7 linked regions of the Sus scrofa genome follow. The protein of the gene in region 1 binds, or shares a complex with, the protein of each later gene. Links are inferred from orthologs where the notes say so. Each region holds a gene or a part of one and is shown in the gene's direction. Other genes may lie near its edges. The genes, in order: TFDP1, LIN9, RBL2, LIN54, E2F4, LIN52 and E2F5.

What was found.
Region 2: TFDP1 (region 1) and LIN9 share a complex: the UniProt entries of both Homo sapiens proteins name them as parts of the DREAM complex. The link is inferred for Sus scrofa from reciprocal best matches to the Homo sapiens genes TFDP1 and LIN9.
Region 3: TFDP1 (region 1) and RBL2 share a complex: the UniProt entries of both Homo sapiens proteins name them as parts of the DREAM complex. The link is inferred for Sus scrofa from reciprocal best matches to the Homo sapiens genes TFDP1 and RBL2.
Region 4: TFDP1 (region 1) and LIN54 share a complex: the UniProt entries of both Homo sapiens proteins name them as parts of the DREAM complex. The link is inferred for Sus scrofa from reciprocal best matches to the Homo sapiens genes TFDP1 and LIN54.
Region 5: TFDP1 (region 1) and E2F4 share a complex: the UniProt entries of both Homo sapiens proteins name them as parts of the DREAM complex. The link is inferred for Sus scrofa from reciprocal best matches to the Homo sapiens genes TFDP1 and E2F4.
Region 6: TFDP1 (region 1) and LIN52 share a complex: the UniProt entries of both Homo sapiens proteins name them as parts of the DREAM complex. The link is inferred for Sus scrofa from reciprocal best matches to the Homo sapiens genes TFDP1 and LIN52.
Region 7: the proteins of TFDP1 (region 1) and E2F5 are in contact, whole or in part, in a crystal structure (PDB 5TUV), measured with the Homo sapiens proteins. The link is inferred for Sus scrofa from reciprocal best matches to the Homo sapiens genes TFDP1 and E2F5. Residues at the interface, in NP_009042.1 of Homo sapiens: Glu201, Cys202, Leu205, Glu208, Arg209, Arg212, Leu213, Arg215, Ile216, Lys219, Gln220, Leu223, Leu226, Ile227, Gln230, Phe233, Leu236, Val237, Arg239, Asn240, Arg241, Arg249, Pro253, Ser255, Val256, Ile257, His258, Leu259, Pro260, Phe261; in NP_001942.2 of Homo sapiens: Val126, Arg129, Leu130, Lys134, Glu136, Ile137, Leu140, Glu141, Glu144, Leu147, Asp148, Gln150, Lys151, Leu154, Gln155, Ser157, Ile158, Val161, Met162, Ile166, Asn167, Asn168, Arg169, Phe170, Ser171, Tyr172, Val173, Thr174, His175, Asp177.

The regions. Positions count from the first base shown.
Region 1 is NC_010453.5:78,754,130-78,758,321, forward strand, and holds the start of TFDP1 (transcription factor Dp-1), read left to right. Parts: upstream 1-1,392; 5' UTR 1,393-1,528; intron 1,529-2,315; 5' UTR 2,316-2,378; coding exon of another isoform or gene 2,379-2,390; 5' UTR 2,391-4,192. UniProt on the Homo sapiens protein: Can stimulate E2F-dependent transcription.
Region 2 is NC_010452.4:14,181,228-14,185,373, reverse strand, and holds the start of LIN9 (protein lin-9 homolog), read left to right. Parts: upstream 1-1,346; 5' UTR 1,347-1,432; coding exon 1,433-1,511; intron 1,512-4,146. UniProt on the Homo sapiens protein: Acts as a tumor suppressor. Inhibits DNA synthesis. Its ability to inhibit oncogenic transformation is mediated through its association with RB1. Plays a role in the expression of genes required for the G1/S transition.
Region 3 is NC_010448.4:31,785,018-31,788,517, reverse strand, and holds part of RBL2 (retinoblastoma-like protein 2), read left to right. Parts: intron 1-1,832; coding exon 1,833-1,993; intron 1,994-2,085; coding exon 2,086-2,150; intron 2,151-2,758; coding exon 2,759-2,945; intron 2,946-3,500. UniProt on the Homo sapiens protein: Key regulator of entry into cell division. Directly involved in heterochromatin formation by maintaining overall chromatin structure and, in particular, that of constitutive heterochromatin by stabilizing histone methylation.
Region 4 is NC_010450.4:135,394,384-135,397,883, forward strand, and holds part of LIN54 (protein lin-54 homolog), read left to right. Parts: exon of another isoform or gene 1-1,599; coding exon 1,600-1,801; 3' UTR 1,802-3,500. UniProt on the Homo sapiens protein: Component of the DREAM complex, a multiprotein complex that can both act as a transcription activator or repressor depending on the context. In G0 phase, the complex binds to more than 800 promoters and is required for repression of E2F target genes.
Region 5 is NC_010448.4:27,837,356-27,839,637, forward strand, and holds part of E2F4 (transcription factor E2F4), read left to right. Parts: intron 1-197; coding exon 198-398; intron 399-2,282. UniProt on the Homo sapiens protein: Transcription activator that binds DNA cooperatively with DP proteins through the E2 recognition site, 5'-TTTC[CG]CGC-3' found in the promoter region of a number of genes whose products are involved in cell cycle regulation or in DNA replication.
Region 6 is NC_010449.5:97,392,020-97,395,519, forward strand, and holds part of LIN52 (protein lin-52 homolog), read left to right. Parts: intron 1-791; coding exon 792-858; intron 859-3,108; coding exon 3,109-3,192; intron 3,193-3,500.
Region 7 is NC_010446.5:51,509,818-51,513,859, reverse strand, and holds the start of E2F5 (transcription factor E2F5), read left to right. Parts: upstream 1-1,242; 5' UTR 1,243-1,340; coding exon 1,341-1,568; intron 1,569-4,042.

The DNA.
Region 1 (4,192 bases):
GGGACCCTGCTGCCCAGTGGGACGCTGTGCACACTGTACCACCGGGAAGCAAGGTGTTGCGCCTGCGGGCAGGGCAGGTAGGTCCGTCCTCTGAAGCCTCTTATTTACCCTCTTCCTCCTGGATCCCGGTTTCTCTGAGTGCCGCGTACTGAAGAGAAAGAACGCGAATATCTCTGCTCCCTTCAAGAAACCAGCGCTAAGGTGTGAACAGTCTTAGGCCGGGAGGGGCTTTACTGGAGAAGCAGAGTGGGCGTGATCAGCATAAAAGCGGTTAAATTGGGAAACCGTCCGCGGCCGGGTGGAAACCTGCAAGATGAGAGGCCTTTGCTCTGTGCTCATGAACTTCGGACTTGACTCCCAGGCCCCTCCCGACCTCCGCAGCGTCTCTGGAACCAGAGCCCATGCCCTCTGGGGCCTTGGTGCTTGCGGGGGCGCCCAGAGGGGACGAGTCTCCGAGGCTCAGCGTCCACTAGGTCCAGCCCACCCAGTGATGAGGAGCCAACTCTCCTGCACTGAGAATGCTCTGAGGCTGGCTGGAGGCTGGGCGTGGGCACGGAGGCCGCTGGCAGCTCAGAACAGGAGCAGCAGGTGGACAGGGCTCTCTGCGCTGTGGGTGCACACGGCCCTCGCCTCGGTGCAACTACACACGCACACGCCTGGCCTCCTCTCCTTGCGCACCTACACATGCACCCGCCCCTACACGCCCATGGGCACCCAACCTCTCTTATTCTCGAATACGTATACACACTGTGCACACACTCGCCCCCCCATGTGCGCACTTCTGTACGTGCATACGCACACACTCAACCCATTCTCCGTGTGCACACCCATGAATGCATCTCTAGCCCCTGGGTACGCGCGCGCACATACACACACTTGCACACTGGCTCCAGACCTCTGTGCATACACACTCACCTGCACACTTTGCCCCTGTTCCTCATGTGCCCACACGTGTATACACACTCCTACCCCCCATTCCCCGGATGCACACACACCCGTGTACATGCACAGGTGCACACCTCCTCAGCTTCTGTCCCCCTCCCCAGGTGCTTATATACGCACGTGCACCCCTAGTCCCTGTCCGCCGCGTGCGCACACGTGCGCATATCCCCGGCCCAGCTCCCCCGCGTGCGCAACACCGCGCCCCGGGGGCTGGGACCTCCTCTCCATCTTTGCTCGGCGCGCGCACACACACGCGCGCACATGCGGACGCGCGCAGGCGCAGCCCAGCCCCCCGGAGCGCGAGCGCGGGCCGCGGAGCGGGAGGAGGAGGAGGAGGAGGAGGAGGAGGAGGAGGAGGAGGGAGCCGAAGGCGCGAAAAGGCGCGCAGGCGCGCTGCGGGAGCCGGGCCGCCGCCCACGTCACCGCGCCGCGCACGTCACGCCGCCCGACGCTCGCAGGGTGAGCCCCGCGCCCCGGCGCCTCGGCAGGGCAGGGACCCCGGCCGAGCGCCGCCGGGACCGCCCGCTCTTCCGCGCCCGCCCGCGTGTGCGCGCCGCTGTCCGCGCGCCGACCTCCCGCCCGCCAGGTGCGGCGGGCCGGGGTCCCGGAGGGGCGCACGCGCCGGGCGCCTGCGGACCCCGACCGACCCCCGCCCCCGCGCGCCGCGTGCGCCGACCGGTCCCCGCGCGCCAGGGCCGCCGCGTGGGCGCCCAGGTGACCGGCCCGGCGGGGTCGCGGGCCAGGGTCCCCGTCGGGGCCTGCAGGGGCCTCCGGGCGGAGCAGCGCGCGCATCGGCGTCTGCGCCCGGCGGGGGTTGGGGCGGGCCGAGTCCGAGCGCACGGGGTCCGGGGTGCGGGGTGCGGGGGCCCGGCGGCGCCGACCCCACCTGCCCGCCGACTGCCGGTTCCGGGGCGTGGGGGGCGCTCGCGGGAGGCCGCCGCGGCCTAGTGACAGGCTGGAGGCCGGGACCCCGGAAGCCCACCTGTCAGAGTTACGGGTCGGCTGGTGGTCGCGGGTGGGCCGGGGCGCCCGTGGGGAGCGCGTGTGCGCAGAGACTGGGGCTGCGCCGGGTGGGAACGCGGGCCGCCAGTGCGGGCTCGGCCTCGCTGCTGGCTCTTTGTGCGCGTCTGGGGAGGCCGGCGGGCATTCTGGTGGCGGACGAGCTTCCATTCCTGAGATGACTTTAAAATCCCCAGCGTGGGGGCTGTTTCTGCGGCCCCGCTCCGAGGGTGGAGTGTGGGCATGGAGAGGAAGGCGCCGCTCCCCTGAGCCGCGGTGGGGATGGTGGTGGTGCTGGGGGGAAACGCTGAGGTTTGTGAACTTCTTATTTCATCCTTATTCACTCCTTGCTTTTCCTTTCTTCTTTTTACCAGAAAAGTCATTTTTCTTCTCTGGAGGGTGAACAACTATAGCATCGATTTCACGGATCTGGTAACATGGCAAAAGATGTAAGTATGTTTGCTTCCTGCTGGACGCATGTTTGCCTACTGATACATTCTTGGTAGTTTCCCGATTTTGTTTCAGAATGACAGCACACAACATTCAGGAGCGTTTATGTTCAGACTCTTAAAGCACATGAAACACGCTAAAGGTGAGGAACCCAGAGGAGCCCCGGTGGCCTTTATGGAGGGTACTTTGCAGGCCTGAGCCCCCAGGGGGGCCAATGCCCGATGGGGCTTGACTGACCCGATCTGTGGGTCTCTTCTGACTGGTTAACTTGGAAATCTGAGTGCCTTGGTGGGGGACCCTGGGCAGGCGCTGGACTCGGTGGAATGGCGCTGAGCATCCTCTGCAGGTACCGTGTAGGATGTTACTTCAGCTTTGAGCCGTAACAGGCTAAGCACTGGGTTTGGCAGCCTTTTTTCTCAGAAAAAGTGGCACTTGGTGCCTAGTGAAGTGGGGTGCAAAAATTCTACTTTAGCTTTATATTTGTCGGGGAGCTATAGAATTTGATGAGTTAGTTTTTTTCTCTTGTTTTAAGAAGTAGGCTTTTCGGCCCCAAGATTTCGGCTTTTATCATTTGGGCAGCTCTTTCGATCCTGGGTGACATCCGTGAAATTCACTGAAACCCCGGCTCCTCCTTTAGCGTGTCTCAGGACGTGCTGTTCCGTAAACATTAATGAAAAGAGGCAGTTTATTTATTTACTCGTGTGTTGCGTGGAGGTGGAAATGCAGCTCTGAGGACGTGCATCTGCCTGAGACACAGCCGGAGGGTAAAGCACGTCCCTGTTGGTGGCGCCAGGAAACGGGCATGATGCCTCCGTCACCTCGCGGGTTTGAACCTTCTGCAGGGCGCCTGTCGGAAGGCACCCCACCCGCTGGGCCTTAGGCTGTGGGCCCCCGCGCCAGTTAGTTTGGCAGAGCGGGTGAACACGGGGCTAGTGTGGTGGGTTTGAGCTTAAAACCAGAGTCTGTGTGTGATGTGCAGGTGGTGTTACCTTCTAATCGTCAGTGGCCAGGCCCAGTTCTCTGCCACTGTCGCCCGGAAGACGCAGGACGGGAGCTGGTGCTCAGCAGGGGTGCAGCTGCCCCCATGCCTCCCATCGTGGGTGGAGGTGGGGAGCTGAGTTTGCCTCTCGTCCTGTCTGAACCCCCTGGAGGAGGCGTCCTCTCCCTCCCCCTGGGCATCCGGGGGATGGGAAGACAGTCCAGGCCCGTGCCTGGTTCCAGGAGACTCCTGAGCGGCCTCCTCCGAAGGTCACTCCTGGAGGTCAGCCCAGCGAAGGCTGGGTCGCTGTGGGCCACCTGGTGGCTGGGTGGGGGTGATGGGGACCACCCGTTGAGCTTGGGTACGTGACACAGTGGAGGTTGGTGTCGCGGTGAGAACAGCCAGGTAAGAAGCAGTGGCTTTGCCTGTCCTGGGTTGGGGTCGGCAGGTGTGCTGGAACCGGGTCTCTCCAGGGCTGTGCTTGGCGGGACAGAGGCTGCGGGCCGCTCAGGCTCAGCCCCGTCTCCCCCTGCGCTGGGTCTTAGGTCAGGTGTGACATTGGAATCTGGGAAGCTGACCATTGTCGGGGGGTAGGGGGCAGGCATAGGAGGCTCACTCTGCCCTTGGGGGTAAGGTCAAAGCCTGCAAGCACCTCGCACAGCCTCTGGCTGAAGCGGGTGGGCTGGGACCCCAGCTGGGCCATTGGGCCCAGGGAGGCTGGCGTTAGGTTCGGGGGAGGCGGGGGGTCCCAGTGGAGGCGGACAAACTCGGGGACTGATGGGGGCAGCCAGCCTGCAGAGGCCCGGGGAGGGTGGCGATTGA
Region 2 (4,146 bases), on another chromosome or scaffold:
CAGAATTCCAACCAGGCCTTAGGGTTCAAGTCCACCCTCTGAACGTCTGGGACAGACAGCTCCCCTTTGCCTGCCTGCTCCAACAAGCTTCCTCCTGACTAGTTTCCAGGACTCTCATCCTATCACACTCCAATCCATTTCCCATACTTTGGTTCTACAACACAGATGGAAAAATGCCAGCTCTATACTTGAAAACCCGACCTCTCCACTGCTCCAGGGCTCTTAGCAAGTCTAGCTCCTTGGCCTGGGCTGGCCTGTCTTGCTGTCATCTCAGACGACCAGCTTTTAACTTTTTAGTTTCTGGAATTTACCCCTGCTGTATTCTCATTGCTTAACTATCCCATCCCTCCCACCCCAGCCCTGGAGAGAAAGGACTGGAGCTTAATAACATTTGTTAGATGCACTGTTGAAAAGCAAGAGAGGTTGATTATTGGACACTATTATAGACAGGAATTGTGAAATCTTTCCCTGGGCTTCTTTGAAAACTGATTGAATTCTTTCAGGGTTCTCAAAACATGTCGATCAGGGTACTTCATCATCTTCAAGTGTCACTGCTGGGTTCTGTCTGTATCTTCATCAAGTCTCCTGCTTCTGGTTCTGTAATCCTCTCCCAGCTCACTGCAGCGTCTACTGTGAACGGATGAAAGAGCTCAGCAAAACAGTTTTCTGGCCGCCGAGCTCAAAGACTAACTTTATGACCTTTCAAGGTCTCCCCTCCAAGCTCCATGCACAACTCGGGTGCCGACGTTCCGGAGGGGTATCCCGGCTCGCGAGGGGCACCCGGAGCAGAGTCCCGGGCGGGCAAGCTGTGGGGCAGCCGCGGCCTGAGCCCTCCTCCCCGGCCCTCCTCCCCAGCTCTCCGGAGAAGGGAGGGATGGAGATGCCGGAGAAACGTGGGCTCGGGGAGCCGTGAAAATTTTACTTCGAGTACAGCCGCCTCCGGTAATGCGGCCAAGAACCGGGGGCTTCTCCCCGCGCCGGGCCCACAGGTGCAGCCTCCCGCCCCCCCCGCCCCCCTCAGCCGGCCGAGGCCTGCCTCCCCTCTTCCCTCCCTTTCCCCACTCGGAACAAACAGCCTGCAGTTCCCGCAGCTGCAGCTCGAGACGCGAAACGCGCGCCGGGAGCGGGGCCGGGCGGGACTCGGCAGCTCGCACCGCTCCTCCCGCTCCCCCCGCGCTCCGGCGCCGGGCCCAGGCTGGGGCGGCGCGAGACGGGCCTGGCGGTGCGGCCTCCCTCCCTTTATTGCCGGCCCGGCCGGGGGCGGGGGCGGAGGGGCGAGGCGCGGCCCTCCTCCGTGGCACCCCTTCCCCGGGCGGGCCCGGGCAGAGCCCCGCCCGCCTCAGCCCGCCGCGGCGGGAGTAGCGCGGCGCCGCGCCGCGGGCGGCGAGCTCCGCATTCGAACCTCCCTCGCAAAGACAGTCTCCGCCCCACAATGCACCGCGGCGGGCAGCCTTTGAAAAAGCGGCGCGGCTCGTTCAAGATGGCGGAGCTCGACCAGTTGCCTGACGAGAGTGAGTAGCACCTCAAAGCACCCCCCCTCCTCCCGCCGGCCGCCTGCCCCTGGGCTGCATCGGCCCGGACAGGCGGCCCTACCCTCCGCGGGGCAGGTGGGCTGACTGCCAGCCCCGCCGTGGTCCCCGAGTCCTCCCACCCCGGTGTTGCCGCCGCGTCGCCGCCTTTGTTATGGTGTCTTGAGTGTTGGTTTCTGGGGTTGTGTGAGCGCCAGGGCCGGAAACCGAAAGCCCGGGGGCCCAGCCCTTGTCGGGCGGAGGCGGTGGCTGCTCCCCTGGCCCGACGCGGGGCCCCTGGCCGCGGTGGGGGAAGAGCGGCCACCGGCCGCGGGGGCTGTTCTCGCCGCCTGCAGCGCTCGCCCGGCGCGGAGGGACGCCTGGCGGGGTTATGTAACCCGCCCGTCCGGGGGCCGGGCCGGGCTCCGGCTGGGGAGGGGGTGGTCACGGCCCTTCGTCTTGCCCTGGCCTCGGATCTTGTCCTGTCACAGTTCCTGCCGCTGCAGGCACTTGTGATCATCACCGCCTTCGCCTTCCCTCCTCCGGTGTGTCCACCCCTGGAAGTGTTTCCGTGTCAAAGGGCTGGCCCCTTCCCCTGGGACCACAGGTGGCTGTGGATCTTTCCAGAGGTAATCCAGCCTGGGTACACACGTGTTCAGGTGGCCCCCATCCCAATGACTTTCTTCTGTGCGTTTGTGTCTTAAGAATCATGGGGGTACCTTGATGCATGGATGTGACCATCCCAGCAGGCATATACAGCCCTCTCCCTGACACCCCTTGTGCATTGCCTCACTTAACCATGTTTATTCATCCTGCCATCTCAGACATGGATGTTCCCGTGTGTTTAGGAAGTAAAAGCACTAATCCGGTAGTGTAAGTGCAATAGAACTTAATTTGTAATTTACAATATCGTATAAACTATATCAAAAGGCAAATCGTTTAATTAATGACAAAAGGGTTCCTGAGCCACACTTGCTATTCAGTTTATGTATACACATCTTTTGTGAGAGTTTTAGTATAATAAAAACAAAAAGGTCGATCCCTGTTAAATCTCTCTGTGCAAGACACTTTAAAAATGAGAACTGCGTACAGCCAATTCTGTTTATTCCTTGCTGAGGTCATTATATTCTTAATGTGTTATAAAGTTGCAAGTTCAAGTTGCCAAACTGGTGAAAAGTTGTATTAAGAGAGTTCGTGTTTTAAATTTGCTCTAGGCCAGTGCTGAATTCCAATAGAACTTTCTCAGTGATGGAAATGTTCTATTTTGCCACATCCGGTAGAATAGCCACTAGCCACATGCGGCTGTGGAACTCTTCACTCGTGGCTAGAGTGACTAAGGAACTGCATTTTATTTATTTATTTATTTATTTTTGCTATTTCTTGGGCTGCTCCCGCGGCATATGGAGATTCCCAGGCTAGGGGTCCAATCGGAGCTGTAGCCACCGGCCTACACCAGAGCCACAGCAACGCGGGATCCGAGCCGCGTCTGCAACCTACACCACAGCTCACGGCAACGCCGGATCGTTAACCCACTGAGCAAGGGCAGGGACTGAACCCGCACCCTCATGGTTCCTAGTCGGATTCGTTAACTACTGCGCCACGACGGGAACTCCAGGAACTGCATTTTAAATTTCATTTGATTTTTGTTCATTTAAGTTTAAATAGTCAGGTGTGGCTCGTGGCTACTGTATTGGACGAGACACAACTACAGACTGTCAATGAATTTTACTGTTTCTTGAAGAATGCAATTGATTGTGATTCAGGATGCTCCTAAATAAAGGTGGGCCTACTAAAGACAGTGTGGTTGTTAGCTGGAAATCCTTGCTCTCTTTGTCATAGAGATATTTTATCACCTCTTGGAAGTCCCAGTCCCCCTGGGACTTCCAAGAGGTGATAAAATATCTTTTATCATTTAGAATATTTGCTCATTATCAGTAAACTGATTTAGAATATTTGCTGTCATTTAGAATATTTGCTCATTATCAGTAAACATTGATCGAGGACTTGCTATGGTTCTTTGTAGTCACTTGGGACTCATATTAGGGTTCAAATTCCAGCTACATTCTGAAACTGTATGTCATAATCGTTTATATTTGTGACATCTCTGGTGCACTGGGGCGTGTGTGGGCGTGCACCTTAGCTTGGATATTTGTCTTGTTTAGCTTGGCCACGCCTTTTGAAAGCAGGGATTGCTTTACCTGGTTTGTCAGAGTGCCACAGGTCAGGTATATATAAATAATTTATATGGAATTGAATGTAGAGTTAGAAGCATAGTTAAGGAAACTGGAGCAGTCTTGAAAAGGGAAAGTGATTTCAGTTTGATGCTACCAGTAGCAGTATATTTCTTTGCCAATTTTAGTCAAGAGGGGTAGCTTATAAATTATCCAGTAACCATTATAACATTATCAATAATAAAGGCTAGCATTTATTTATCACTGTGAACCAGATGCTGTGTAAAGCATGTCTAATGCATTTATTTATTTAATCCTCATTCCAGTTGAGGTAAGTACTCTTACTAATGAGGTAACCAACACGGTCTTCAGCCCCTATCTTTCCTCTGGGCTTCTGGGCTTAATACCTCTTGCCTATTTCACATCTCCTCGTAGGTGCCTCAGAAGCCCTTCAGACTTTATGGGTT
Region 3 (3,500 bases), on another chromosome or scaffold:
GACATTAAAGCTGATGGTGTTTTTCTGTATTTGGCAAGCTTGGTGCCTGACACACACGGCGAGGTCAAAACAGATTTATTGAAAGAATCTCCATTTCAAATCTTTTCTACAGAATATGAGTAGTTATGGTTCTGAAATGAGTAAAATGAATTTTCAACTCTAAAAGATATGTGGAAATGATAATTATTTTGGCATTGCATTTAATAGGCCTTAAGGTATGTAATTTCTGTGAATGACATACTCTGAGACCAGATTATGATTTACGAAGCTAATATTAAAAAGTATTGATTGAGTTAGAATATAATGCTGCTATTTGAATAATATCTTGGTAGGGTTCTGAGTGATTGTCAGTTTTGGAGTGGTTACAATTAGAATTTCAGCTTGTCTGGCTCTCAAGGTAGATGTTTAATATTAGTGGAATTAGTTACTGGTTTTGTAAATTTTTTTTTTTTTTTGGCTGTACCCATGGTGTGTGAAAGTTCCCATGCCATAGTAGTGACAACACCAGATTCTTTTTTTTTTTTTTTTAATAATTATTTTTATTTTCCCACTGTACAGCAAGGGGGTCAGGTTATCCTTACATGTATACATTACAATTACATTTTTTCCCCCACCCTTTCTTCTGTTGCATCATGAGTATCTAGACAAAGTTCTCAATGCTATTCAGCAGGATCTCCTTGTAAATCTATTCTAAATGTGTCTGATAAGCCCAAGCTCCCGATCCCTCCCACTCCCTCCCCCTCCCATCAGGCAGCCACAAGTCTCTTCTCCAAGTCCATGATTTTCTTTTCTGAGGAGATGTTCATTTGTGCTGGATATTAGATTCCAGTTATAAGTGATATCATATGGTATTTGTCTTTGTCTTTCTGGCTCATTTCACTCAGTATGAGATCTCCAGTTCCATCCATGTTGCTGCAAATGGCATTATGTCATTCTTTTTTATGTCTGAGTAGTATTCCATTGACAACACCAGATTCTTAACCCACTGAGCCACGAAGGAACTCCCTGGTTTGGTAAATTTAGTGTTCTCCATATTCTGTCCTTTTATTTTCTTCCTAACTCCCTTTCATATTTCTGTATGGCTGCTTCCTTTCATCTTTTTCCCCTCTTCTTTTATTTATTATTTATTTTATCCTCTTGCTTTGAGTCTAGGGCAGGGATGGCTATAAATTAGTAAACACATCTAATATGGAATTAATATAATTAAATCTAAGTATAAAAAAGTACTTTGAATAGTAATTTTTTTCAAAGTTTTTTATTGGAATGTAAGGCTTATTTGCAAAATTTTGTGTTTTTTAGATCTTAGGGCAATATACTAAATTCTTTTTTAACTGTTACCAGGTAGATAATTAAATAATTGGAATCTTCTAAGTAGTGATATGTTTTGCCTCTGTTATTTTTGGTGTATATACCAAATATATATATGTATTTTTTTCTCTTTCCATGGCGGTACCTGTGGAGTATGGAAGTTCTTAGGCTAGGGGTGGAATCAGAGCTGCAGCTGAGGCTTATGCCACAGCCCCAGCAACACTGGTCCAAGCCGCACCTGCAGCCTACGCCATAACGTGAGGCAACATTGGATCCTTAAATCACTGAGCAAGGCTAGAGATCATACCGTCATCCTCAGAGAGACAGTGTTGGGTTCTTAGCCTGCTGAGCCACAGTGGGAACTCCTTGACGTTTATTTAAATAGAGTCAAATTAGGTCCTTATATACTATTTGTTATATACTCATATGCTAACTCACATGTTGATTAGACTCTATTATTTATATTTTAGTTTATTACAGTTTGGTTTATTCAGTGCTATCTCTGTTCTGTGATTGCATCATAGGCCTATCCGAAGACTTTCATGCTAAGGATTTTAAACCTTCCTCCGACCCACCTTGTGTTATTGAGAAACTCTGTTCCTTTCATGATGGCCTTGTTTTGGAAGCAAAGGGAATAAAGGAACATTTCTGGAAACCCTATATTAGGAAACTTTATGAAAAAAAGGTTTGTAAGTAGTAAAAACATAATTTGAAAATATCTTCTTGGCAAAGATTTTATTTAACATGATGTCTTATGGATCTTTTCTTTCGTCGTAGCTCCTTAAGGGAAAAGAAGAAAATCTTACTGGTTTTTTAGAACCTGGGAATTTTGGAGAGAGTTTGTGAGTACTTCTGTTATAAAAATATTTTAATATTTTAAATTATGTACTTAGGAGACCTCAGAGTTTCATGTTTTTATTGTTTGTATGCTGGAAATGTAGACTATTTTGTGGGGGAATATAGGGATGCTGTAAAAACTCCTGTCAACTTTACTCTAAGCACATATTTTTTTAACATATAGAAAATTTTATGGATGTTCTCTAAAGCTTTAATAGTTAAGCTTTTGGATTATAATTTTTGAAATAAAGACTTCTTTTGGAACTACATGAGTAAAGAATGATGATGTAGTTCAAAGGTGCCTGGAGCAGCTAGGAAAGATAATTAAGCTTCTTACCAGAAGCTGTACCTACAGGGCGGCTTGGTACAGGGTACCCACCCTCAAAAACTGTCACCAAAATATACTTACTGTGCAATGGATACACATAGTGGAGCAGGCTTGCATGTTATACTCCTCAGGTTTGATAATTAATAGTGATTCCACTAAAATTTAACTTTCACAAAATTATTAGAATTTTTAGTAAATAAAAAAAATGAAACAATTAAGTAGCCTAAAACAACTGGAAATGGCAGTTCTTTGAGTGTACATTTTGCCTATTTTTTTTTCCTATAGTAAAGCCATCAATAAAGCCTATGAGGAGTATGTTTTATCTGTTGGAAATTTAGATGAACGGATTTTTCTTGGAGAGGATGCTGAAGAGGAAATTGGGACTCTCTCAAGGTGTCTGAACAGTGGTTCAGGAACAGAGACTGCTGAAAGGGTACAGATGAAAAACATCTTGCAGCAGCATTTTGACAAAGTAAGTTGAGCCATCCCAGAGAGTAGAAATACAGAAGCAGATATGTCAGAGAGTCTGTCTCTGTGTTTACTGTTTTAATTTTTGTTGACATCAACTTTCAAAATTTTTGATTAGGTCTGTGATAAGGATTTAATATAAATGTAAACAAATGTATCATGCTGATAATTGTTGGTTTTCAAAAGATGGGCCAGTAATATACAGCCTTTACATACTAAATATAGTAGATTTTTAGAAAATGTTGATTGATCTGGATTGGTACCTTCATCTAAGAGACTAGAGAAACTGAGAATCTGTAGTCTTTAAGGAAATTCTGTTAAACTGAGTTTCAGGATCATGTGTTAGTTACTTCATGCAGGTGCTTAAATGATGGAGACTGTTTCCCTTCTATTGTGTGGTGTTCACAGAAAAATAAGCAACTTCTGACAGGCCTTCCAGAGGTATTGTGGCTAATTCCAGGGCAAAGCTCACATATAAGACCAGACTTAAGACTGGTTTGCTTATTCATTCAGCAAATATTCTCAAGGTATTCTATGAGCCAGATTGTGTCCTGGACAC
Region 4 (3,500 bases), on another chromosome or scaffold:
GGTGTAGGTCAAAGACGCGGCTCCGATCTGGCGTTGCTGTGACTGTGGTGTAGGCCGGTGGCTATAGCTCCTATTTGACCCCTAGCCTGGGCACCTCCATATGCCGCAAGAGCGGCCCTAGAAAAGACAAAAAGACAAAAATAAATAAATAAACAAAAAAGAACCCTTATAACTGGCATATCCTCCGCACAAGTCTCTTGACTGAGTGAAGTGGAGATGGCCTGACACTGCAGTGAGGGGTGAGAAGGGTCCCTGCTGGTCGTCTGCTCGCAGCGAGCCTCGGATTAGCTCGTCTCATCTCCATGTGGAGAAGAAAGTGCTGCACTGAGAAGTTTCACCTGTGGAACGCGGCTATGATGTTACCAAGTGTGAAAGGACACAAAGTCATACACTGTAGTCAAAAGAGGTTTTTAGAAACTGTATAAAAAGCTCTATCAGCATGTTAACAAGCTTTTGTCTTTGAGCAGCAAGAATTTTGAATTCTTTCCTTCTGCTTTCCTCTAGTTTTCGAAATACTATATAATGAATGAGCACTATAGTATTGTAGTGTCACTAGCTTTTTCTAATTCAAAGTGCTTTTGTACCTTAAAGATTTCTATCCAAGTGCGCAGCAGCCCAAGTCCTGCCCCGCCCTCTGTCAGAGTGGGCCGCGATTGCAGACCCATCGAGCCTGCGCCGCACTTTCCTGCTGCCGGTGGCTGCTCACAGGTGGTTGCGTTGGCAGTTAGACTGGTCGCCTGTTCGGCCCCTGTGGGCTTTGAGACTTGGCAGCACAGAGCGAGGCCTCGGGATGGGTTTGCTCTGCTTTAATTCGCAGTGGTTCAGGTCTTTATGGATGACTTGCCAAGTATTGAACAGCATCCGGTGTCCCCATTTTGTCTTGTCCTCGTGGAATAATGCCAGATTTTGGTGTGTGTCTTGTTTTTTCCAAACACTGTATGGGACTGGGGGAGGTGCTGTCCAGGAGATGGCGCTTTCAGTTCCCAGTGTTACTCATTCATTCAGCACATGTTCATGGAATGTGTGTCGGAGAAACAACCGTACATGAAACAGAACTGTGCTCAGTGAGCTCATGATGGTCATGAGGTGGGAGGACTTTCGCCGCAGAAAAACTGTCCAGTTAATGTGGAGAATTAGAATTACATCTTGCAGTTAACCAGGTAACCTCGTCTAGGTAATATGTATTTTGTGTAAAATGTTATATTTTAAAAATATGTTCAGGAGTTCCCTTCGCGGCTCAGTGGAAACGAATCTGACTGGCATCCATGAGGACTCAGGTTCGATCCCTGGCCTTGCTCAGTGGGCCAAGGATCTGGTGTTGCTGTGGCTGTGGTGTAGGCCAGTGGCTACAGCTCCGATTCAACCCCTGGCCCTAAAAAGACTAAAAAATACGTGTGTGTGTGTGTTCAGTAATAAGACCAAGTCTGACTTCTAAAAGGCTCTCTGGGGTGTGCTGTGTTCATCACACAAACACGATGCTCGCTGTGCTTGCCGAGCAGGGACCTGTGGGCCGAGTTCCAGGTGGAAGACGGCCGCCCCTTTGGCTGCTCTTCACAGCCTCCTCACCGCTGTCCCCCTCTCTCCCCCAAATCACTGCAGATTGCCGTTTACATTTGTAACCAAGGAGGTGGCGGAAGCCACGTGTAACTGCCTTCTGGCCCAGGCAGAGCAGGCGGACAAGAAGGGAGAATCAAAGGCAGCAGCCGAACGGATGATACTCGAGGAGTTCGGACGATGTCTGATGAGCGTCATCAACTCTGCAGGAAAAGCAAAACGGGACCCTTGCGCCATGAATTGCTAACTCCTGCACAAAGGACTGACTGATGGAGGGACTGTGCAGAGCACTGGAGGTGCAGGGACACGGGATTTTCTGGAAGCTAGTCCAACAATGACTGTATTGGCAATTCAGTCCTTGTGAGACCTGAAATTATAATATTGAAAGAGAAGAAATTTTTTTAAATGAGGAAATTAGTACATTTTAAGTCTAAGTTAAATCTGCTTATTTCCCTTCTAAATTGAGTTTCTCTTTATTGTATTATATAGATTTTTAATTGGCTTGGAATTCTTAAGAACTAGATGTTCTGTCCTTCTGCTTCTATTGACAAATAACATTTATAAATTACTATAATTTATAATGTATGGTGTTGTATGACTTTGTTCCAGGAGAAAAGGCCAAAGAAGCCTTGGTATTTAGCCAGTCATTCTTTGGTGCTAGATCTACAATATAAGCAGATAGACTATCTCCACTGACAAATTCTCATGACCTTTTGTGTTTAGAAAAGCACTATCTTTTTAGGAAAAATCAACTTTTTAGGGTGGATTCTGGAATAATACCCTGTTGTCACTTTAGGAATGGTCCGATGGGGAAGTAATCCATGGCACACTTTTAAAATAAAAAAGTTATGTTTGTTTTAAAAAAAAAACATACAGTGTTAAGGGACAGTAAATAATTCTCAAAGGCAGACAGTTTGTTTCTATATAAGGAGTGACGAAGAAATGCTTGGGATATTTCCATTTTCTTTCAAGGAGGCGGTATGTATTCAGAATAATAAATTGTCAGTGGTTACGGGGTACTATTAAAATGAGCCTTGCATATGAATAGAAGTAAACCTATTATGTAGTGATAACAGAACCTTACCTATTTATCGGGTAAAGATTTGGCTTGGATGGAGAAATCAATACTGAAGGTCTAAGAGATGAATTTAGAGGATTTTTCATCTATAGAAACAGCTCTCTTTACAGACTTTTGAACTAAGAGGGTTCAAACCAACGTTATGACTCTTACTTGATTTACTGAAATGGGCCTCCTAACTAACAAAGCTCTCAGAATTGTAGTGGGATTTCTTTTTTACGGGAAGCTTAACACGGCGTTATTTTTAGCCAGTGATTTGGTGAGCTAATGGTATGAGTTTCTCATATAATTACTAAGATAACCGAAATCATTTTCAGCAGTTCAGAATTCAGAAGCTTTATGAATTTAAGAGCCTGTTATAATAGGACTCTGGATTTTATGATGGGAAAAAACCATGTTGGAATTCAGGCATTTTGTTAGGTACCTTGATCCCCAGTAATTATTAGTATATGATTATTACATTTCCTACAAGGAATCTATAGTTGTATGTATTAAGTGTGTATATATGTTCATACGAACATGCAAGATATAGGCAGCAGAAACGAAGCGATCCAAAAGGACCTTCCTTTGAAGCCTGGGTTTATAAAATGACAGTGCAGTAACTTTAAATGTAGATAGTGCAGACATTCTTAGCACCTCAATCTAGTACACTTAATTAAACTTTGTATAAATGTAAATTAGTGTAAGAGGATAAAATAATATCTAATCAAGTTATTTTTCAAAAGATTACAATACCTTTTTGGTCTAAACCTAAACTTTGTTCATTTTGTACATACTCTGTGTTTAATTCTAATTGCACCTTTGTGATGTGTATTTATATACAGTGTGCATAAAATGTTTGTGAAATTTGGATTACAATTGTAGATTA
Region 5 (2,282 bases), on another chromosome or scaffold:
TTCCTGCAGGACTCACGCCTCTGTCTTCTTCAGTGAGATTTTTGATGTTACTTTCCTGGGAGTGGTTGGCAGTGCCTAATTCTCCTTGGGCCCAGGAACCAGGGCTATAGTCATCTTGGCTGTGGGTTCTAGAACAGCCAGCTTCGATATCCTGCTTCCTGTTCCCAAGTGACTGGGTTTGGGGTGTGTGGTTGCAGTGAGTGGTGGCCCTGGAACTGATAGCAAGGACAGTGGTGAGCTGGGCTCCCTCCCACTGGGCCCGACAGCGCTGGATACCCGGCCGCTGCAGTCCTCTGCCCTGTTGGACAGCAGCAGCAGCAGCAGCAGCAGCAATAGCAGTTCATCCGGACCCAACCCTTCTACCTCCTTTGAGCCCATCAAGGCAGACCCCACAGGCGGTGAGTACTTGTCCCCTTGGGAGCAGGGAGAACCCAGCCTCAGACAGTCCTAGGTCAGAAACAGAACTGGGCCTGGAACGCAGCTCTCCTAACTCCTCAGCCAAAGCTGGCTGGCCCCACAGCCAACCCCCTGCCATCCACCAGAACTCTGCCAGCCAGAGCGCCCCTCTGCCCGCTTCCTGGGCTGACCCAGAACGCCCTGGCCCTCCCCAAGCCCTGTCTACCACCTCCAGGACTCAGGACAGCGTGAGCACTCTCCTGGGGAAAGGGCTGCAATGTGGCCTCAGGCCCCACAGGTGGGCAGTGTCTTCTTCAGAATGGGAATGCCATCTGCCTGGTGTCTCCTTTCCATCTTGTGACTTGAGTGCTTTTTCCAGGACTCATTCCCCTTAGGCCCACAAGCACCACTAAGTCTCCCTCATTAAATGACACAGTGTCTGTCCCCTGTGTCCCCCTCTCTTATCTTCCCTGTATCCTCTCTGTCTGGACTTCCTGAAAAAGTTATCTCCACTCTGTCCCATATCCAGGTCCCCCAGTCAGCTGGAGGATGCAGCAGTCAGGACCCCCACCCCCCCTGCCACGCCAGTGCTGCTAGTCCTGATGGCCAGTGCTGGCGGGTTTTGGGGCTGATTTGCTCTGGTGCTCTCTTGCTCTGTCTTGATGTGCCTTTTCGCCTTTGCCATTTATGATGTCAGCTCTTGGTTCTTGGCTCCTAACTGGCTTCTTCTTGTAACTTCTCTCTGGCATTCCTTTAAATCTGGCTTCTCAGAGTCCATCCCTCTGGAAGGCCCCAGTTCTGAGTAGATGGATTCCCAGCATCTGTGTATAGGTTTCTTGCCTAAAAACTTTACTTCCTGTGTCCACGTGCCTTCCTGTGCACAGCCGACAGGCACCTCACTCCCATGTGTGCTCAGCCGAAACTCGCTTTTCTTTTCCTTTTTTTTTTAATACTGATTTTTATTTTTTCCATTATAGCTGATTGGGAGTGTTCTCTCAGTTTTCTACTGTGCAGCAAGGTGACCCAGTCACTCTTAGATGTATACATTCTTTTTTCTCACATTGTCATGCTCCATCATAAGTGACCAGACATAGTTCCCAGTGCCATACAGCAGGATCTCATTGCTTATCCGTTCCAAAGGCAATAGTTTGCATCTGTTAACCCCAAATTCCCAGTCCATTCCACTCCCTCCCCCTCCCCCTTGGCAACCACAAGTCTGTTCTCCAAGTCCGTGAATTTCTTTTCTGTGGAAAAATTTCATTTGTACTGCTCATTAGATTCCAGATATATGATATCGTATGGTATTTGTCTTTCTGACTTACTTCACTTAGTATGCATCTCTAGTTCCATCCATGTTGCTGCAAATGGTATTATTTTGTTCTTTTTGATGGCTGAGTAGTATTCCATTGTGTATAAGTACCATGTCTTCTTAATCCAATCATCTGTCGATGGACATTTGGGTTGTTTCCATGTCTTGGCTGATGTGAATAGAGCTGCAATGAACCGAAACTTGCTTTTCCACCTCTGTGCGTACTCGACCATTGGCTCTAGCCACCCAGGCCTGACACTTGGGTGTCACCTCAACTCTGTCTCCTCCTCTGTCCTTCTCTTTCCCCCCATCCCACATCAGCTAATGAGTTTTCTCCCAGACACCCCCATTGATGGCCTCCTGTATCCTCAGCATTCAGGATCACTGCAGCCACCGCTCTCCTAAGTCCCTCAGCATCATTTTTACTCCAACAAGGATCTGTCACAAACAGCTTGACTGCGGTGTTTCTTTGTTACAAAAGTACCTTTAACAGCTTCCTAAGGTCTGGTGGATAAAACCAGAGCCCTTAAACTGGCATGTGAAATCCAGCTCCAGCGCTTCTTTCCCGTTTCCCATG
Region 6 (3,500 bases), on another chromosome or scaffold:
TGCCATTTCTTGGGCCGCTCCCATGGCATATAGGGGTTCCCAGGCTAGGGGTCCAATCAGAGCTGTAGCCGCCGGCCTCCGCCAGAGCCACGGCAACGAGGGATCCGAGCTGCGTCTGTGACCTATAGCACAGCTCAGGGCAACGCTGGATCCTTAACCCACTGAGCAAGGCCAGGGATGGAACCTGCAACCTCATGGTTCCTAGTCGGATTTGTTAACCACTGAGCCACGACGGGAACTCCTCAAATAATTTCTTTCATGGCTCTACTTACCTATTTTTCGTACACTAGTAACAGTATTCAGACCTAAATCTTTCAAGATCATTACTTTAAAACCAGCTTTTAAAGATCAGTAGTATTATTTTGTAAGGGTTCTATTTGTAGGTCAGAGCTGAATCTGGAGAAATCTGGTTCTTTGAAATTATAACTTGCTGGTATTTTCAAACAACCTGAGGACTGTGTGACAACCTCCTTTTCTTACAAGAAAGAAGAGTAGAGAGTTTCCGTCGTGGTGCAGTGGAAATGAATCCGACTATTATCCGTGAAAATGCAGGTTCAATCCCTGGCCTTGCTCATTGGATTAAGGATCCGGTGTTGCCACGAGCTGTGATGTAGGTTGGATCCTGTGTTGCTCTGGTGTAGGCTGGCAGCTGTAGCTCTGATCTGACCCCTAGCCTGGGACTTCCACATACCAGGGTACGGCCCTAAAAAGCAAAAAAAAAAAAAAGAAGGAAAAGTAGGATCTCTATACATTGCACATGTCTGAATAGATGTATTCTTATTTTCTGACAGCCCATTACTAGCTCCCCACCCAAATGGATGGCTGAAATAGAACGCGATGACATTGACATGTTGAAAGGTAAGCAAAGCTGGTGACCTCTAACCTTCAACCTGACTTTTATGCTCCTGTGCAAACCACCTTTCCAGTTTTTCTTTCACGATTCCCTTACAAGTATTTTTGGCTTCAAATTGCCTATTTAACCATCCTTATTCATGGTTCTTCATATCTAAATGCCTTTCTCTACTTTTCCATGTGTAGAAATAATTCAAGACCCAACCATACTGATTTTTTCTGCTGCTAAATTCCTTTAATGTTAATTTTATTTTGTATAATACTTAGCGTTGGAGTTCCCATCTTGGCTCAGTGGAAACAAATCCAACTAGGAACCATGAAGTTGTGGGTTCGATCCCCAGCCTCGCTCAGTGTGTTAAGGATCTGGCATTGCTGTGAGCTGTGGTGTAGATCACAGATTCATATCGGATCCTGCGTTGCTGTGGCAGAGGCCTGCAGCTGCAGCTCCGATTCAACCCTAGCCTGGGAACCTCCATATGCCTCGAGTGTGGCCCTAAAAAGAAAAAAAAAAAGAAAAAATTAACGTTAACTATAAGCTCTCACATAAAATTTCTTATTTAATTCTCATAAAGACCCTGTGAGTTAGATATGATGTCTAAGGTTCAGAAGTTAACCAAGCTTTATTATAGAAAGAGTTAAAATTTAAACTCTGAACTTTTTTTTTTTTTGGTCTCTTTGTGTTTTCCAGGGCCGCACCAGCAGCATATGGAAGTTCCCAGGCTAGGGGTCTAATCAGAGCTGTAGCCGCCGGCCTCCGCCAGAGCCACAGCAGTGCCAGATCTGAGCCGCGTCTGCAGCCTATACCACAGCTTACGGCAACGCCGGATCCTTAACGCTCTGAGTGAGGCCAGGGTAGAACCTGCAACCTCATGGTTCCTAGTCGGATTCGTTAACCACTGAACCACGATGGGAACTCCTAAACTCGGATCTTTTAAAGCTAGTCTCTTACTGTTATAATGCAAGTGCCTTATTTAGGATTTGCTGTCATATATTGTTATGAGTACTATTAATTGACAACCCCTTAGTGGGTTAAGACCTGTCTTTTAGTTCTTTCTATCTCATCAATTTCTCCCATAGAGAATACTGTAAGTAGTGAATATCATTGTTTGATAAATGGCTTGGGACTAAATCACAAAGTAGAAATTTAAATTAAAAAACATTAATTTTCCTTGATTTTGCTCTACTTTACTTAATTTTTTTTATCATCCTCGTAGTGATAAGATTCATGATGGTTGTGAAGTAATAGAATGAAATTGAGGTAAAAAATCTGGGGTTCTTAAGCTATTTAAGCAGCTGAACAGATTCACAAAGTCTACTTATGCCAGATATAGATAATAAGTATGGCATGATGAGTGAGAGAAAATAACACCTTTATTTGACTTCAGAAATAATTCATTGTTCTGCATGAAATGCTTAAAAGCAGAGCCCTTCCTCCATCTGGAAAAATTAAGTCTCAAGGGCATCTTGGGTTCATTGTTCTAATGTTCCAAACAGACATTTATATAATATTCCATCAACATGTATTTTCTAAGGAAGCTTTAAAGTTTGATAAGGGATCAGAGCATTCTGTTTCATGCAAGTTCATGTATGTCCTAAACTTAAAAGGAATTAAGTTCTGTTTAAATGAAAATCTGGGAAGATAAAATTTTAAGTTTACTGTCTTTTTATCTGGTAAAATTAAAAATTTTTTTATGGGAATTTGATTTGAAGGTAAAATTTGGATTAATATTTAGCCTGTTTTCTAAACCTGGAGAAATAGGAAAGAATAAGTGTTTTATTGTCACTTGGAGTAATGTGGACTTATAAATGACAGCTGAGATAGTGTCCTTTTTGTGAGACAGAGATCTGTCTGTTTGCTGTCTCAATGCTATGTCAGATCACAAGTTTTCAAATTTTAACCATATATTCATTTTGTATGATACGCAAAATGAATGTTACAAAAAGATCCTCAGGATAAAACATGTAATTTGTTGTTGTGTTTACGTTAATTCTCTTCTCATTAAGTGGGTAAGCTTATCTGAGGCATTTTGCAGTGGTGGAAAAATTCACTGATTTGATTTGTGCGTTTTTGTGTGTGTGCACGTCTGTGCTGGGGGTAGTGGTGATGTGATTTGTTGAGAAGAGATATGGATCCATTTTCTACTTATTTCATAGGAATTAAGCTTGAAATTTTTATAACAAGGATTTGCAACCCGCATGCGTTGTTACTAGAAGCAGTGGAAAGAAATGGTATTGAAATAAATGATTCTGTTTCAGAACTGGGGAGCCTCACCACAGCTAATTTGATGGAGAAGGTACGAGGCCTTCAGAACCTAGCCTATCAGTTGGGGCTGGATGAGTGTGAGTACCCAGATCCATTTATTCAGGGTTGCATGTTGTATATTTAATGATGAGCTCTGGTGTAATTCAGAAAGTAACTTTAGTATCTTTATTAGATGTTCTCAAGGTAAGAAGCCACTATAATCTAAAGTGTGCCTTTTATAGTAGAGTGTCAAAGTAATTACAGAGTTTACTAGATTACAAGTTATTGTTCTTTGTATAGTGAAAGCATATTGGTAACTCTTAGTTTTAAGCGATAGAATGTCAAATCAAACAATCTTAAGCAAAAGAAGGATTTTATTCACATAAATCAAAATTCTAGGGGTAGA
Region 7 (4,042 bases), on another chromosome or scaffold:
ACAGTCCAAGCTTGGATCCAGTGTTGCTGTGTCATAGGCTGGCAGCTGCAGCTCCAATTAGACCCCTAGCTTGGGAACTTCCATATGCCCCTGGTGAAGAGGAGAAAAAAAAAAAAAAAGTCTATCTGGTTATTCATAAAGTTCTGTCCTATGAATTGGAAACAAATATTAAACTTAAATGGTGTGTCCAATTTTACTCTCTAATGTTACTGTTTTACTTCATTCCAGTGACCCTTTTTTGCTAGTTTACTGTTATTTTAAATTAGAAATATGTCTTGCATGAGACTTTCTTGATGAATTATCATCATATGGAATTTTCATTCCCCTAATATTTATTGGGCATCTACTATATTAAAAGTGTTGCGTGTGATACCAATTTATTTAGAATTTCTCCCAACCCTCAAGAGTGTGTAATCGAATGAGAAAAAAACTTTTACTCAGATCTGCGTTATCTCATTTCTCATTTTGATAGTTTGGGCTATCAAAAAACATAAAAATCTTACGACTGCCTAATATTCTAAATAATACTACATAGCTTGGTTGCAATACGGTATTAAGAACAATTTTAAATGAAGGAAATCTGGAGTCCAGTGGCGAGTCTTTGGGCGAGTCACAGCCTCTCCCTCTACACCTCAGTACCTCTACCTATACTGCTCCATTATTCTGCTTTTCCCATATCCCGAATCTAAAAAGATGATCGGAATAAAACCTTGCACTTGATCAGAGGCATTGAAATACTTGCAAAGGATTCTAAAGTTGGAAAGGACCAAGACAGCAGAAATCCCCAATGAAGGTATTCAGCGGACGGCTAGTCCCGTGAGGTTGTAGAGATCCAGCAGGTCAGAAATCGATGGCCACCAAGCAGAGTGTTTTCGTTTCATTTTTTTCCTCCAAGCGTTGTAGCGGGAGGTCGCTGGTCCTGGGGGTGGCACTCCAACAGCAGAGAGGCGAGCTGAAACCCACTCCTCGACGCTCCCTTCTGCTCTCCCCTCCTTCCTACAGAAAAATGCGTTTCCAAGCAACGGCGGGCCGCGGCGTCACTTCCTGCCATTTAAACTCAGGTCCCCACCCCTCGCCGCCCCTTCTCCTCGCTTCCACTCCCCCTCCCCTCAGTCGTGGGCTTCCTTCTTGGGTCCAGGGCTCGGGGAGGGGGCGGAGGCCCGGCAAGCCGAGCGGCCCAGAGGCCGGTGGGCCCCGCGCACCTGTTGTTTGCAAGCGCCCGCAACCCTTCGTCCCGCCCTCGGCCGGCGGCGGCTGCAGGGGCGGCGATAGAGGTGGCCCGGAGCAGACCCGGCAGGTGGCCGAGCGCGAGGTCCGCACCACTGCGGTGCGGGGACGCGATGGCGGCGGCCGAGCCCGCAAGCTCTGGGCAGCCGGCACCGGAGGGCCAAGGGCAGGGCCAGCGGCCGCAGCCGCCGCCGTCCCAGGCGCAGCCCCCACCCCCGCAGCAGCCACTCGGGGGCGGCGGGGGCGGCAGCAGCAGGCACGAGAAGAGCCTGGGGCTGCTTACCACCAAGTTCGTGTCGCTGCTGCAGGAGGCCAAGGACGGCGTCCTGGATCTCAAAGCGGTGAGCGTAGGAGGCGGGGAGGGGGCGGACTTCAGATCCTGCGGCCGGGGGAGAAGCCCATCCCCTTGCCGCGTGGGTCGGGGGACGTGGTGTGAACGCTCCGCGCGGGGATCTCACGACCTGAGCGCAGTGGCCACGTGGCCTGCGCCCAGGCCCTGGACTTCGGGATGGGGGGGAGGGACGAGGGACCAGGATGGCCCGGACCAGCCGCTTAACCAATGGGGCCCGGCGCCGCGCCGGGCTCTCGACAAAGAGCCCAGGAGCTCCAGCGCGCGCGCGTGGCTTCTGTCTCGGGGCGCGGAGACCCGAGGACGACTGAGTGCCCTTGCTGCTCCGCGTCCACCTGTGGCAGAGGCACAGAGGGTATCTGGGCGCTTTGCCCAGGACACCGTCGGGATTGATTTTTTCCTGTTGGGCATTGTTGGTTTTAATAGGCGATTCTAGCTTAGACCGTGATCAAGTTGTTTAAACAAGCCAGCAAATAAGCAAACAAAACCCAGTTTTGCCACCTCTCCTGGATGAAACAAAATAAAGTGAACTCTTCATAGCCCTCCCTGTTAAAATAATGGTAGTAATTAAAAGAAAAAACTTCTTCCTTGTATATTTCTTTTTATCATTTTGGTGACTAAGAGGGGTATTTGATTTGTGACTTAGAAGGATCTGATATAGATTTCTAAAAATGAGATTTGCCGTCACACGGAAAGGGGATGTTTTATAACTTTGATGCAAGGAGAAGCGCTCAGCAAACTCCTATTTCATGAGATCTTTTACTGCAGTTGAGTTCGGAATTTTCAAACCACAACATACATCAAAAGCCGTTCCGTTAAATAAAATGACCTAACCGTTCCAGTCAGGGTTTGGAAGGATTCCATAGCGCTGAGAAACAAGAGATGTGATCCCTTGAATTAAAATTCAACCAGCGCACCATGTTTAAGTAAAAACTAAAGCTTTAAAAACAAACAAAAATTACTAATGAATCAGTAATTACTGTAGACGCCTCCTAGGCACTACCCCTAAATCTGGGGTTAACACTGAGAATTGGTCCCAGCACCTATGGAAGTGCCAGGACCACCGTACCTAGCTTGAGAGGATGACTGCAATCCTCAAGGCTATGCTTAGGGTAACAGAAGCACCGTCTGAGTAGGACAGCATCTTCTAGTACTCCTTGACCTGAGACTAAGACTCACAGAGGCCAATTTGATGTCCTTTGCTAGAGGTTCTCATCTGAGGACAGTCTGGGAGGTGAGGTATGTCTTTGAATGTCCTCTCCTTTCCCTGGGTGTAGTAAGTGTTGCGTAAATGACTCCTGAATTACCGAAATTGTTCTACTTCATACAAATAAGGCACGATGCACATATTTTGCATTTGGGGAAAAGTTTCTACTATTTTTTTTGAAGTATTACTCCTGAAATTTTCCTGCACTTTTAGAAATACTTGTTTTCTTTTTTTCCCCACTCCCTCTCCTTCCCTCTCTCCCTTAAAGTGCTTTATGACATGTATGTATTTAAATTGTGAACTAAAATGGATTTTTGTTTAAAGAATTTCATAGGAAGTCATGAGGTCATCTTTGAAAGACAGGGATGTTTCCAAACCTACCTTGCAAACTACTATTTGAAAATCTAGGGAGTTCCCATCGTAGATCAGGGGTTAGGAGATCCGACTAGTTTCCATGAGGTCAAGGGTTGGATCCCTGGCCTTGCTCAGTGGATTAATTAGGTTAAGGATCCAGTGTTGATGTGAGCTGTGGTGTAGGTGGCAGATGCAGCTTGGATCCCATGTTGCTGTGGCTCTGGGGTAGGCCGGTGGCTGCAGTTCCTATTTGTACCCCTAACCTGGGAACCTCCATATGCTGCAGATGCATAAAAGATAAAAAGACCAAAAAAAAAAAAAAAAAAGGCTAAAATTCAGGGAGTTCCCTTGTGGTTCAGTGGGTTCAAGATCTGGTGTTGTTGCTGCTGAGGCTTGGGTCACTGCTGTAGCGTGGGTTTGACCCCTGCCCCGGGAACTTCTACATGCTATGGGTGCAACCAAAAAAAAAAAAAAAAAAAGCCTGTGACTCCAATAAAGAATCAGGGAAGTTTGGGGTTTTCCAGATGCAACTGAATTCTGAGGGGCTGACTTTTGAGAGCTTTTCTCACAGCTTGCCTTGGAATATGATGGAAATTTGTCCTTGCTTTCCCCTAAATCTTTGGCTTCCTCCTGTTTCATCTGTGGCCAGATTTTGCTGTCCAGAAGTTTACAGAGGCAGTGAGTGGGAAGTAAAGTTTAATATTTCCTGATAACATTGTTTCATTCATCCTGGAATTTTCCTAAAAGTTCAGAGGTTTCTGCAGTAATATTAGGTCTCATTGTATTAATGATTTTTTTACTTCAGTCCAGTAAATGAGACCAGTTTTTCATTCTTTTTCACATATATACAAATATATATTTCATTTATTTACATATGTTTGTACATAATAAAATCTTATATTGCA